Nothobranchius furzeri: one gene and its partners. The protein of the gene in region 1 binds, or shares a complex with, the protein of each later gene. Links are inferred from orthologs where the notes say so. Each region holds a gene or a part of one and is shown on either strand. Other genes may lie near its edges.

The links.
Region 2: the proteins of zc3h13 (region 1) and wtap are in contact, whole or in part, in a cryo-EM structure (PDB 7VF2), measured with the Homo sapiens proteins. The link is inferred for Nothobranchius furzeri from reciprocal best matches to the Homo sapiens genes ZC3H13 and WTAP. Residues at the interface, in NP_001317494.1 of Homo sapiens: Arg1512, Pro1514, Gly1515, Ala1516, Ala1517, Leu1518, Lys1520, Phe1521; in NP_001257460.1 of Homo sapiens: Asp202, Glu203, Asp206, Phe207, Gln210.
Region 3: zc3h13 (region 1) and mettl14 share a complex: the UniProt entries of both Homo sapiens proteins name them as parts of the WMM complex. The link is inferred for Nothobranchius furzeri from reciprocal best matches to the Homo sapiens genes ZC3H13 and METTL14.

The regions. Positions count from the first base shown.
Region 1 is NC_091754.1:49,202,756-49,206,407, reverse strand, and holds part of zc3h13 (zinc finger CCCH domain-containing protein 13), read left to right. Parts: coding exon 1-210; intron 211-287; coding exon 288-917; intron 918-997; coding exon 998-1,138; intron 1,139-1,214; coding exon 1,215-1,415; intron 1,416-3,652. UniProt on the Homo sapiens protein: Associated component of the WMM complex, a complex that mediates N6-methyladenosine (m6A) methylation of RNAs, a modification that plays a role in the efficiency of mRNA splicing and RNA processing.
Region 2 is NC_091742.1:5,865,574-5,869,325, forward strand, and holds the start of wtap (pre-mRNA-splicing regulator WTAP), read left to right. Parts: upstream 1-961; 5' UTR 962-1,148; intron 1,149-1,685; 5' UTR 1,686-1,693; coding exon 1,694-1,723; intron 1,724-1,829; coding exon 1,830-1,885; intron 1,886-1,960; coding exon 1,961-2,019; intron 2,020-2,179; coding exon 2,180-2,307; intron 2,308-3,752. Other genes in the region: sod2 (superoxide dismutase [Mn], mitochondrial), read right to left, coding at 67-197. UniProt on the Homo sapiens protein: Associated component of the WMM complex, a complex that mediates N6-methyladenosine (m6A) methylation of RNAs, a modification that plays a role in the efficiency of mRNA splicing and RNA processing.
Region 3 is NC_091746.1:78,155,414-78,159,165, forward strand, and holds the start of mettl14 (N(6)-adenosine-methyltransferase non-catalytic subunit METTL14), read left to right. Parts: upstream 1-1,186; 5' UTR 1,187-1,319; coding exon 1,320-1,385; intron 1,386-1,696; coding exon 1,697-1,785; intron 1,786-3,752. Other genes in the region: prss12 (neurotrypsin), read right to left, coding at 1-146. UniProt on the Homo sapiens protein: The METTL3-METTL14 heterodimer forms a N6-methyltransferase complex that methylates adenosine residues at the N(6) position of some mRNAs and regulates the circadian clock, differentiation of embryonic stem cells and cortical neurogenesis.

The DNA of each region.
Region 1 (3,652 bases):
GCCTGAGGTCACCTTCCGACGAGCCGGTCCACCAGGAGAATTCCCAGGGGCCGCGGTCCCGGCGAGGCAGGATGCAGGGATCTGGCTCTCGTGATCGGGACAGGGAAAGGGAGCGAGAGAGGCCGGTGGTGAGCGATCCTCCGGGAGCTGAGAGGAAGTCGCGGATTGACCAGCTGAGGAGAGGAGAGCCCAGCCGCAGCACCTCATCAGGTACTGGAGAGTTCTGATCCGGTTCTGGTTATTATTCAAACAAAACCAAAGCTGGAAACTAAAATCTTGTTTTTCAGATCGGCAAGATTCCCGGAGCCACAGCTCCAGGCGCAGCTCTCCTGATTCGGAGCGGCAGGCTAGGTCCCGATCCCGCGCCGGCTCCTACGACAGCCGGGACCGGGAGCGAGACAGGGAGCCCTTTGAGCGAGATCGTAAGGAGCTCCGCCCACTGCAGCAGCAACAACAGCAGCAGCCTCTGCACCTCCAGCAGCCCCTTCAGCAGCAACGGGACTGGGAGCCAGAACCTCGAGACTGGCCGGGCCGAGGGCGAGAGCCTCTGCTTATGCGTCCTGCACGGGAGCCTCTCCTAAGGGACCTCAGGGATCGGGAGCGCCTGCTTCCTGAAGGACTCATCCAACAGCACGAATGGGAGAGAGAACGGGAGAGGGAGCGGGAGAGAGATGGTCGAGCTGAACGAGGCGGAGACCGGGAACGGGAGAGGATGATGATGGATCTGCCTCCGCATGGCGACCTGAGAGCTCCGGGACGAGGAGACGTGAGAGGAGAGATTGCGAGGCCAGAAAGGAGCGAATACGAGCCCCTACTGCCCAGAGAAGCCTTCAGCCCTCCAGAAGCCGAGAAATCTAGCAACAGCCACCATGTAGGTGGAGATCATCAGGAGGTGGAGAAGACGGAGAATTTTGATGGTAAGAGGATGGAATTTACTTTGAGGTTCTTCGTGTTGATTTTCCTACTTGGATTCCAATGGAATGTGTTTTTTGTCCAGGGGATGATGATGGGAAAGAGGACGAGCGGTCGGTTGCGTCTGTTGGGGAGGAGTACGAGCCGATCAGCGATGATGAGCTGGATGAAATCCTTGCCGATAGCCAGAAAAAGGAGGATCAGCCAGAGGAGGAGAAGATTACAGGTTTGTTTCTCCTGAAACCGAAACTAGTTTATCACGCGCGACGTTAGATGTGAACTCCGGTTCCACGTGTGGACAGGTCCGCTGGACGTGATTGATGTTGACTGGTCCAGCCTGATGCCCAAGCAGAAACCAGAACCGCGGGCGGCGGGTGCAGCTTTGCTCCGTTTCACCCCGGGGGCTGTTCTGCTGCGGGCCGGCATCTCCAAGAGACTCGCAGGCCCGGAGCTCCTGGAGCAGGTGAAGGAGGTGTGCAGGTCTGAGCTGGACGATCCGAAAGGTGAGCGTTGAATTCCAACAGGAACCAGAGAGTGAGACGTTGTAACAAAGTAAAAACCAAACTAAAGTTACTTGGTTAAGATACTCCAAAGTCAAAGCTGTAACCCTAACCTCTATCTGGACTAGAGCCCTGCACGGGCCTAAAATCTGAGCCCATACCCGGCCCGAGGGGGTGGAGCCCCAGCCCGACCCGGTCCGAAAAGGTTTTCAGGATTCTCTGGCCCGACCCGAGCCCGACTTTCTTTTAACCAACTAAATGAAAACAAAGTGCGTCAATCCTGACCAATGTGTTAAAAGACGTGCAGGATCCGATCAATTTGTTTTCCCCTCATTTATTGTCAGGGAGATGACGGCGCACTGGCTCTGGTGGTAATCAAGGTAAATTTGATCTCTTTGCAACAATTTTCACAAGAAAACAGAACAGTTAAAAGCAGGGCTTGTGTTGACCGGATAGTTCCCGTATTTGACCGTTTATTTTGACAGAGAAAGAATAGAAAGAATTACCCCGACGCATGCAGACGAACTGACATTTTATTCTACGCACATCGCAGATGTAGCTAAATCACTCAAGAAAAGATTCCCATCTGAACATCTGAGCTGGACACTGCTCAGCGCAGCTCACTGTCGGCGTGTACTACATAAGGTACACAGCGAGCTGAAGTTGTGGAGAGGGGCTTGGAGCGCGTGTCGCAGAACCAGAGCGCATGCGGGAAGATTCCTCCGACTGAAGCGAGTGTTTTCCAAACCCGGTCTCTCAGAGAGACTTGTCACTTAGAAAATGTTCCTTGATTATGAAACTTTGGCTGAATAGCGCTTGTTCCTGTCTCCAATGTGACGACGCATCCAGGAGCCGTCTGAGGAGAAGCCCAGAATCTCACATCCTCTTCAGCTCAGAATGCACCGATATGATTACGCACAAGCGTGACCCGTCAACCCGTTCACACAGTAAGACCGGGCTGGACCTGTTCAGGTTTACGCAGACAATCTTTACATAGAATTGACTTACAGATATAAAATTAATTCAGTAAAATATAAAGCATTTTATTTAAATATCCATTCATTATTTTACAAGCACAGAGAGCCGCATCAGATTCAGATCAGCGGGAAGATTCCTCTGAATGAATTCAGTGGGAGGAATCTTCCCGCATGCGCTCTGGTTCTGCGACGTACTCCAAGCCCCTCTCCACATCTTCAGCTCGCTGTGCACCTTATGTAGTACACACTGACAGCGAGCTGCGCTGAGCAGTGTCCAGCTCACATGTTCAGATGGGAATCTTTTCTCGAGTGATTTAGCTACAACTGCGATGTGCGTAGAATAAAATGTCAGTTCGTCTGCATGCGTCGGGGTAATTCTTTCTATTCTTTCTCCGTCAAAATAAACGGTCAAATACGAGAACTATCCGGTCAACACAAGCCCTGCTTTTAACTGTTCTGTTTTCTTGTGAAAATTGTTGCAAATTAAACTTGATTAACACCAGAGCCAGGCGCAATGCACCGTTGTCTCCGTCACTGTAAATGAGGGAAAAACAAATTGATCGGATCCTTTTCTGACCTTCCCCACCTACAAAGTTTAATTACAACAATCAAACGTGACAGAGCCTGGATTTGTATTCTGAACAGTCTAAACATGTTTTAAATGAAACGTATGACAAAAGTGGCACCTGCTCAGTAAAACCACCAACAGGGTGAAAAATATCAAAATATTGTAGGCAGAGACGGGCTACAACTTCTGGATCCACTTTATATAAATCGTTTTATTGATTATCGTCTTATGAAAGATAACTTTGACGTACACGAGCGACCGGTACCGGCTGCTGTCACCTGTTGTGATTGGTTAAAGCAGCTCTCTGCTGTCTGAGGGTAGGCCCCGCCCACAACGCCGCAGCTGCTGTGGCTCCCAGTGTTTTCTTTACTGTGGGAAACGGGTAATAATGGCTCTTTGATGGGAACAGGTTGCCGACCCCTGCTATAAGTGTTTCAATTTTTTTCATGAATTCGATTAAAAATAAAGGCGCCCGGCCCGTGTCCGAGGTAATTACACAGTCATTGGCCCGAAGCCCGACCCGAGGGCCGTCGGGCTTCAGTGCAGGACTCTAATCTGGAGCAAACAGGCGTGTGCTACCATTAGGATCTCAGACACAGTGCATGCTGGGAAGGGTTAGAAGGTCATTTTGAAACATTTCAGGGTTTGCCACTCGTTAAAGGAGCAACATGTAAGAATTTTACAGTGAGTCAAAC
Region 2 (3,752 bases), on another chromosome or scaffold:
CAGCTCACTCTGCCTGTTTTCAACAACTTTATATATGCCCTAATGTTACGCGAACATCCGTTTTACCTGCGTATTTGCCCAAGTCTGCTCAGCATGTTTCGAATGGACCTCAGCAGGTAACCAGAACCGTGTGCACGCGCTAGTAAATAACTGCCCTTGAAACTGAGCCATTTCAAGTTGACAGACTGCACCATCATTATTATACGATGGGGGTGTTTGGAAGCGTTTGCATGATTTCTGTAATGTTGCGGACGCTGAAAGTTGGACTTCGTCGAAACATTGGTTTGCCGTGTTTGTCAATAAACCTTTAACTTGTGGCATTTTTTATGAGTAACCATGTCATTTTGTTTTTGAAATGCGTTTCCCTATTACGCTGCACATGGTCTTCAGGGCCTTAGCTCGTTATTTTTCTTTTTATTATAAATTAGTAAACAAGTGTAAGACTTGGATTTGTGTCGTCAAAATGTTTAACGAAATTTTGAAACACGAGAGTAATCAAAATAAAGAAATGTTTAGAAGACCACGAGGCACGTGACCCTCTTTTTTAATCGTGACGTGAAGATTGTCTACTTTGTTAAGATGTCCCACTCTTTAGAAATGTTCTTTTTTTTTTAAAAAAAAGTCTTCATCCAATTTAATCAATGACTCAAAGCAAACATGTTTTGCCTGAACCAGTTATTTTAGAAATATGCGTTTCTGCTAGGTCACCTATATTTGAATAATTTTAACTTAATTAACAAATAACATTTTTTGTTTATTTATTTATTCTATTTAGACAGATGTTATCAATTATTTTGGTCGATTGACTCTAAAAAGTTGTACCACGCATAATCAAACATTAACTATAGTAAATTATATAAATAAAACGTTGAAAATATCCCTTGTGTCGTGGCCCTGCTCGAGTTTCAGAAATTATTTTACGAGTGAGGCGTCTTCTCTCTGTTTTTAGCTCTCTGGTATTACTCCGCAGCATTTTCGTCCGTAGCTATTCCACACTGCCGTCAGCTAAAGAAAGATGATTGCGACTAAGCCCAAACGATACCGTTACTTGTCATTTCTCTGAATATTTGACCGTTTATGTGATTGTTATCCTCACAAGGAATTTCTGAAGCCGACAGTTCTGAGAAACATCGAAGATTCAGGGCCAGGTGAGTGTTTTTGTGGCGTCAGGCCTGGTAACTGCAGCCAAGAGCCCGCTAGTTTCAGGAAAAGGAGCGCAAGGGAGGGAGTCGTTTCCTTCACCGCCATTTTGTTATAACAAGGAGCCGAAACAGAGCAAATAATTAAGTGCCACCCATTTGAATTTAAATTATATTTAAACGTTACTTTGTAACTATGAGTTCAATTTACCATTGCAAAGGAGTGCTAAATATTAGTGGTCAGTAGTTCACCTTGGTTAGCTTCTTCGCTCTGCTAGCTGCCACAATGTCCCGACATTTAGCTGTACAGCGCTTATCAACTGGTTATGTTAAATCTTATGTTATCGACCAATGAGTCAACTCTTTGCCATAAAATATGCGGTGTTCTTTCTTCAGAAACCAAAACGCACGTAATTTAGCTTGTGTGCTAGTCGTGACTAGACTGCGTGCGGAGAACTAACGCTTTAGCTGAAAAGATGATGCAGTTAATTCAACCTGCAATTTAAGCAGCAGTAACTGATGATTTCTTGTCATATTTTCTTCTAGAGTTCAAAATGACCAACGAGGAACCTCTACCCAAGAAGGTTAGCGTCTGATCCTGTTCATCTCCTATTTGAACTATGTTCATTTAGCCTTTGGTTGTCTCCAAATAGCAGCCGGCCTCATTGACCAGTTTTTCTGTTTTCACAGGTTCGCCTGAGTGAGTCGGACATGAAGACCCTGACTAGAGAAGAGCTGTGTACCAGGTGGGTGTTCACGCTGCGATTGCTGTAAAATCACGTGTTCATCTAAAAATGTTAAACCTTCTTTTCTCGTTTCAGGTGGAAACAGCATGAAACGTACGTGCAGGTCCTCGAGGCCAAATATGCAGAGCTGTGTTGTAAGTGCAGTTTCGTAAATGCAATCCAGCATCATGTTGAGTTTAGTTTATTTAGCCGTTTCAACAGTCAGCTATAAATGCTACAATGAGTGCATTGCCTAACCTTTGGCTGTCTGTGAAGAGGACTAATCTGTGATGTTTTTTCATCTCATCCCTTCAGCGAACGATGTTCCAGGACTGAAGGAGTCGGAGGAAAAGCTCAAGCAGCAGCAGCAAGAGTCTGCTCGCAGGGAGAACATCCTGGTCATGCGACTTGCCACAAAGGAGCAGGAAATGCAAGAGTGTACAGTACGTATCTGTTTGCCACTGAATTCACTGTTTTGCTTTGGTCGAATGTTGCTCCCCGTTGATCTGTAGGAAGCTCCTTGTTGGGTGATTGATTTATTTTCTCTCTGATGGATGTCGACTCTCCTTTTTGTAATACTGTATAAAAAGGCGATGTTGAATTTTACTTATCATTAGGTTAGGTCACAGAAGTCAAACGTTCACTAATGACAATAGATTAATACCAAATGTAATGTTTTATAGTGATGTTTTGAACAGATGCCTTATTTAAAATGGCAAACATCAAAATGAGTGCTAACATCTGTCAGTGTGGCAGCTGTAGTCGATGTTTTATGTATTTACACAAGATCAGAGCTTCTTAGCCATAAAACACTGCTTATAAGTGCAATATGATCTTTGATTGAGATTAAAATACTAATAGAAGTAAATGTTGCATGGTGTCATTTACACATACATGATATTTTTCTAAGTTTGTGACGTAAAAGGATCTTAAAACAAGCAGCAGCATTTGCAGAGCAGCAGCTGTTATAAACAAACGTGCTGTTTTCTGTCAACAGAACCGGTCGTAAACAGGGATACTGTTATGGCCATTCACATTCATTCACACTGGGCCAACAAGTAGTTAAGGTCAGCCGTTGGCTTTAGACTGATGGTACAGAGTGTTCAGTGGCTTTATGGGGGCTCATCTGCCTTAAAGAGCAGCAGAGCTCACCTCAGCACACCTTTTCTTTCATTTAAAAGCCAAAAATAAGGATTAGGTTCAGTCAGATGCTGCTACTTTTGTTGCTTAAGCCATATTAGTTGTGCCTTTTGGCATATCGTGTAGGGCTGGGCAATAAACCGAAAATGTATCGTTATCGAAATTTCTGACTTATCGTGATAAATGTTCCCATATCAATACATTTGATAATACAAAATTGAAAAGATGTGTGTGGGTTGGCAACGTTCATGTCCCTAGCTGTACCAGGGTTTTTCCTGCATTCAAATTTGCCTGGTGGCCTCCTCCAGCTAATTTGTGCCGCCCCAGCCTGATTTCACTCTGCCCCCAGCTATATGGATGTTATTTTAACTGCAGTTGCAGCATTGCACCACTACGGGGCGCTGTATCAGCAGCGGTGCACAAAAAAGCACTAAAACCGCAGCAGACAAAGATCAAAAATTGCTTTTCTCTCTAGTTACATATCTGTGGTCGGTGCTATTGACGTCCTGATTTTCCCCCAGGCTCTTCCATATCAGAGCAGGGCTGTACAGTGCGATGAAAAACACTGTCTGCGTGTCTGTCTATTTGTAAATGTAACACGGGTGCAACATCTTTGAATTACCATTTTCCCCTGAACTTTATTGAACAAAAGTAAGTTACTTGTAAGAAAAATGCTTTTTACTGGCGCACGACGTGGTCATCTGGATGCAGTGGAGGAAAGGAACCGGCAAAGACGCAAAGGCAGAAC
Region 3 (3,752 bases), on another chromosome or scaffold:
ACATCAATAGCTCCCCGGTAGGAGCCGTCTCTCCCCTGGCTCCGGGCGCATTCGGTGGACGAGGGGATGAATGAAGGGACGCTGCTGGAAAAACAGCCGCTTGCGGTCAGAAGAGCGGCTACTGAAGCGAGAAACGTCGCCTTCATGTTCTGCGACCGTGAGCCGCTGATAACGGTGGCAATCCGTTTCACTCATCAGCTGTTTCCAGACATGCAGGCAGCCCCGGCGCTTTTCCCCGGGAGGGGAGAGAACCGAGAAGAAAAACGACGCAGATCGATGAAACTCTTTTTGCGTAGGCTGATGCGCTGGCAGCCCTTCCGAGAGGAGGAAACCAAATTACTGATTGATCCAAGATCCAGCCAAATGTCACGAACTAAAACGAACTCTACGCGGAGCCGTAATAAATATAACAAAAATTCCCCTAAACCAATTTAATATATGTGTTGGCTAATTACATTTTAGATAGACTATATTTCCCATTTCCCCTCAGTCAGGTTAGGAAATTTTGCTTTGAGAAAAAACGTTTGAAATGTTTTTGCACTGCTGTTAAAATGCTAAAAGGAGAAATTAAATTAAAATTAGGCTATTAGTTATCTGTATTGTTATTGTTGTTATTTAATCATTATATGCTTACTGCTAAAATTATTTCAATGCTATATTTTTATGTAGTACGGCTACAAAGCTGTGAATTTGCTTCTTGCACTAATTTCATTGTCCGTAAGCTTTTAAAGCTACTCGACTATTGATACTGTATTTAAATGCCAATAACACATTCCCTTCTTTTTATTGTGGTATCATGAGCTGTGAGAGAACGGGAAACAGTCGAATATAGCTGTTTGTTGGATTGCCTTTTCCAACTGTTCTCTGTGATTGGGTGATAAATTTGCTGACGCCAAACGTATGCGTCGGACAAGGCTCTTTCATCATCATCGAGTGACTGTAGGTTCAAATGCTTGTTAAATCTTGTAAACAGCGTACACCGAACCTTCTCTGGGTAACCGGAGTTATAGCCCTCAAATCGGTTTATTTAATTTTCTTTGTAGAATTTTATACATGTCTTCAAATTACACGTTATTTGAGTGTTTTATATGTAAACTTTGCAGTTTCAATGCATCGCCCTATATTTGTTAAAGACACACATCTACTGTGATTACTTGTACCGGTGTTCATAACGAGCGCACCCATCATCATTTCAGCGGCTATGTCGATTTAGCTAATGTTTAGCTAGGAGCTTGCTGCTTTCAGAAGTGAACGTAATCCGTATTTAGCAACGACCCGACGTTTAATATAAATACAGATCTACTGTCACAGAGGAGAACATGAACAGTAGGCTTCAAGAAATCCGCGAGAAACAAAAACTGAGACGGCAGATCTTGGCTCAACAGGCAAGTACACCATAGTTAACAGTTAGAAAGTGGCTAACCGCTAACGTCGCTTTGGTCATAACGGAGCTGCAGGGTGCTAAATGCTCACCATAACTTCACCGTCCCTAACTTGGCTGATGTATTAAATACTCGCCTTCCACCGAGCTAAAAGAAAACACCTTCATAGCAAATGTAAATAAGTGTAACCCAAGCTAGAGCCGACTTTATTTGTCGAATGAAATGTAGCAGCAATGCAAAAAAGGCGTTCACAAAGTTCCAGTCAAATGTTTGCTGATGTTGGTTTCTCTGTGTGTGTTTCTCTAAATGCGCAGCTGGGAGCTGAGAGCGCAGACAGTATCGGGGCTGTCCTTCACAGCAAAGATGAGCTCAAAGAGATAGAGGAGACAAGAGAAGCAAGCAGGTAAGGGTTGTTCCTCCTCACAGACAGGGCGGGATCGTCTGAGCTAGAAAAGGGCTGCGTTTGAATGAAATACGTAAATGCAACGTGTTTGCAGGCGCGTTGCAAACTTTTCAAAAGTGTGGGGGATGTTGTCTGTGGATGTCATCAGTTGTAAATTGAAACTCAACCTCAATCCAGTAAGGAGTTCGCGCATGATTCACAGTAACATAGTCCTTCCAAAAACATGCTTAATATTCACCAATGTATAAACTGCACACATGCAGAACGGGAAGAACTAATCTTCCAAACAACAGAACCCAAGTTTTCTTCATCAACAACACCCAATTCAACAATAAGCTGTTAAATCAAAAGGACGTAAAAATACACTAAATACACATTTAGAGAAAAACACACAGCAGCGACAATCCAATATCCTATCCACAGAATCCACTGTTTAAATTAAAGCCCAGACTTCTCTTTCCAACAATATTTATGCACTCTACATGCAAAATTCACAGAACCAGCAGCTAACAAACCACAGCTCATTTCATGACGTGAAAAGCGTAAATACAGTCTTACCTTTGTTGATTCATGGTCATAATCCATGTTATGGTAAAAACAATCCAATCCCTTTGTGTAATCCATCTTCACAACATCACACAAAGCTGATTCGTGGCTGTTTTAGCTTGCATCCATCTGATGCCAAATCCCAAAAATCTAGCCTAAAAAATCAAAAGCAAGCGATTCTATTGGCTCAGAGGTTTCCTAACTAACCTGAACGGCTTCAATAATCCAACGGCGGGGTCTGGAGAAACTCCTGAATAAACTGTGGTTCCAGCCCAGTCCACCAGCGCACAGGTGTACTCGGGTAGAGGCGGGGAGGTTTCGACAAACTTTATTTGTCACTGAATGTTAATAAAGCTGATTTTAAAGTTGGACCAAAAAAAAAACCTATTCCGTAGAAGGAGCGTTCAACTATTCCTTTTACAAGTGGCACACTGTGGCATTTGAGACCTCGCTTTAAGTGTGCATATATTATAAACCTCTGAAAATTGTTGTTCTTCACTTTATCAAACTCAGACTTTGTACAGCTAATGTCAAGATGTAAAATTATGAATTCAGTGAAATTTAAAACTACTGATGCATTTTTCAAAAGAGGTATTCATCCTGAAATCAAACATTTCGGGCAAAATAAGCAAAAGAAAAATAATCAACTTTTTTACAATGTTCCTTGTCTATTTACACTTCATCAGCAACACTTATTCTAATATTCACACATCTGAACAAATCCCACAAGAATTCCTTTTATAATGAGACCAAAAGTAATGAAAAAGACCTTGTGGTTACAGGAATATAGCCATTAAAGTGTGGGCATGTTATTTGTTTTTATTTCAACAATGCCATCAAATGGTTTGTGTTACATTGACTTACTGTTTTATAAGAACATATTATGAATGTAACATTAAACACAGTAGTCAAAAGTAGAGAATGGTGGTGGTGATTATGAATATCAGGACACTAATAAACAATATTACAAGACATTAAAAGTCAAATCAGTAACACTTTAGGAAACACAACTTAATCATTAACCAGGGGTTAACTAACATGCAAATGATACAGTCTGATTTATGAATTACTAATGATAACAAATTTGTGAATGACCTGAGTACATTACACATGTCCAAAAATTAAAACTTATTGTGTTATTTCCTCCAGTTTGAACCATAAAATTAGATACAGCTCAAGGTATGACCTATAAAGTACATTCTTTGGATTCAAAACCAAAACAACAGGGGAGGTAAGATTCAGCAAATACTTCGCAGAAGTGAAAACCTGCTTCATATGAACTGTGGTAACTGAGTAGGTGAGATAAAACTGTATTATTTTTAAAAAGCATCTCCACAGCTGTAATCATCACACTGGATGAATCCAAAAGCAAGACATCCAACACTTAACAGCAATTCAAGCTATTTTCAAGAACAATCTGT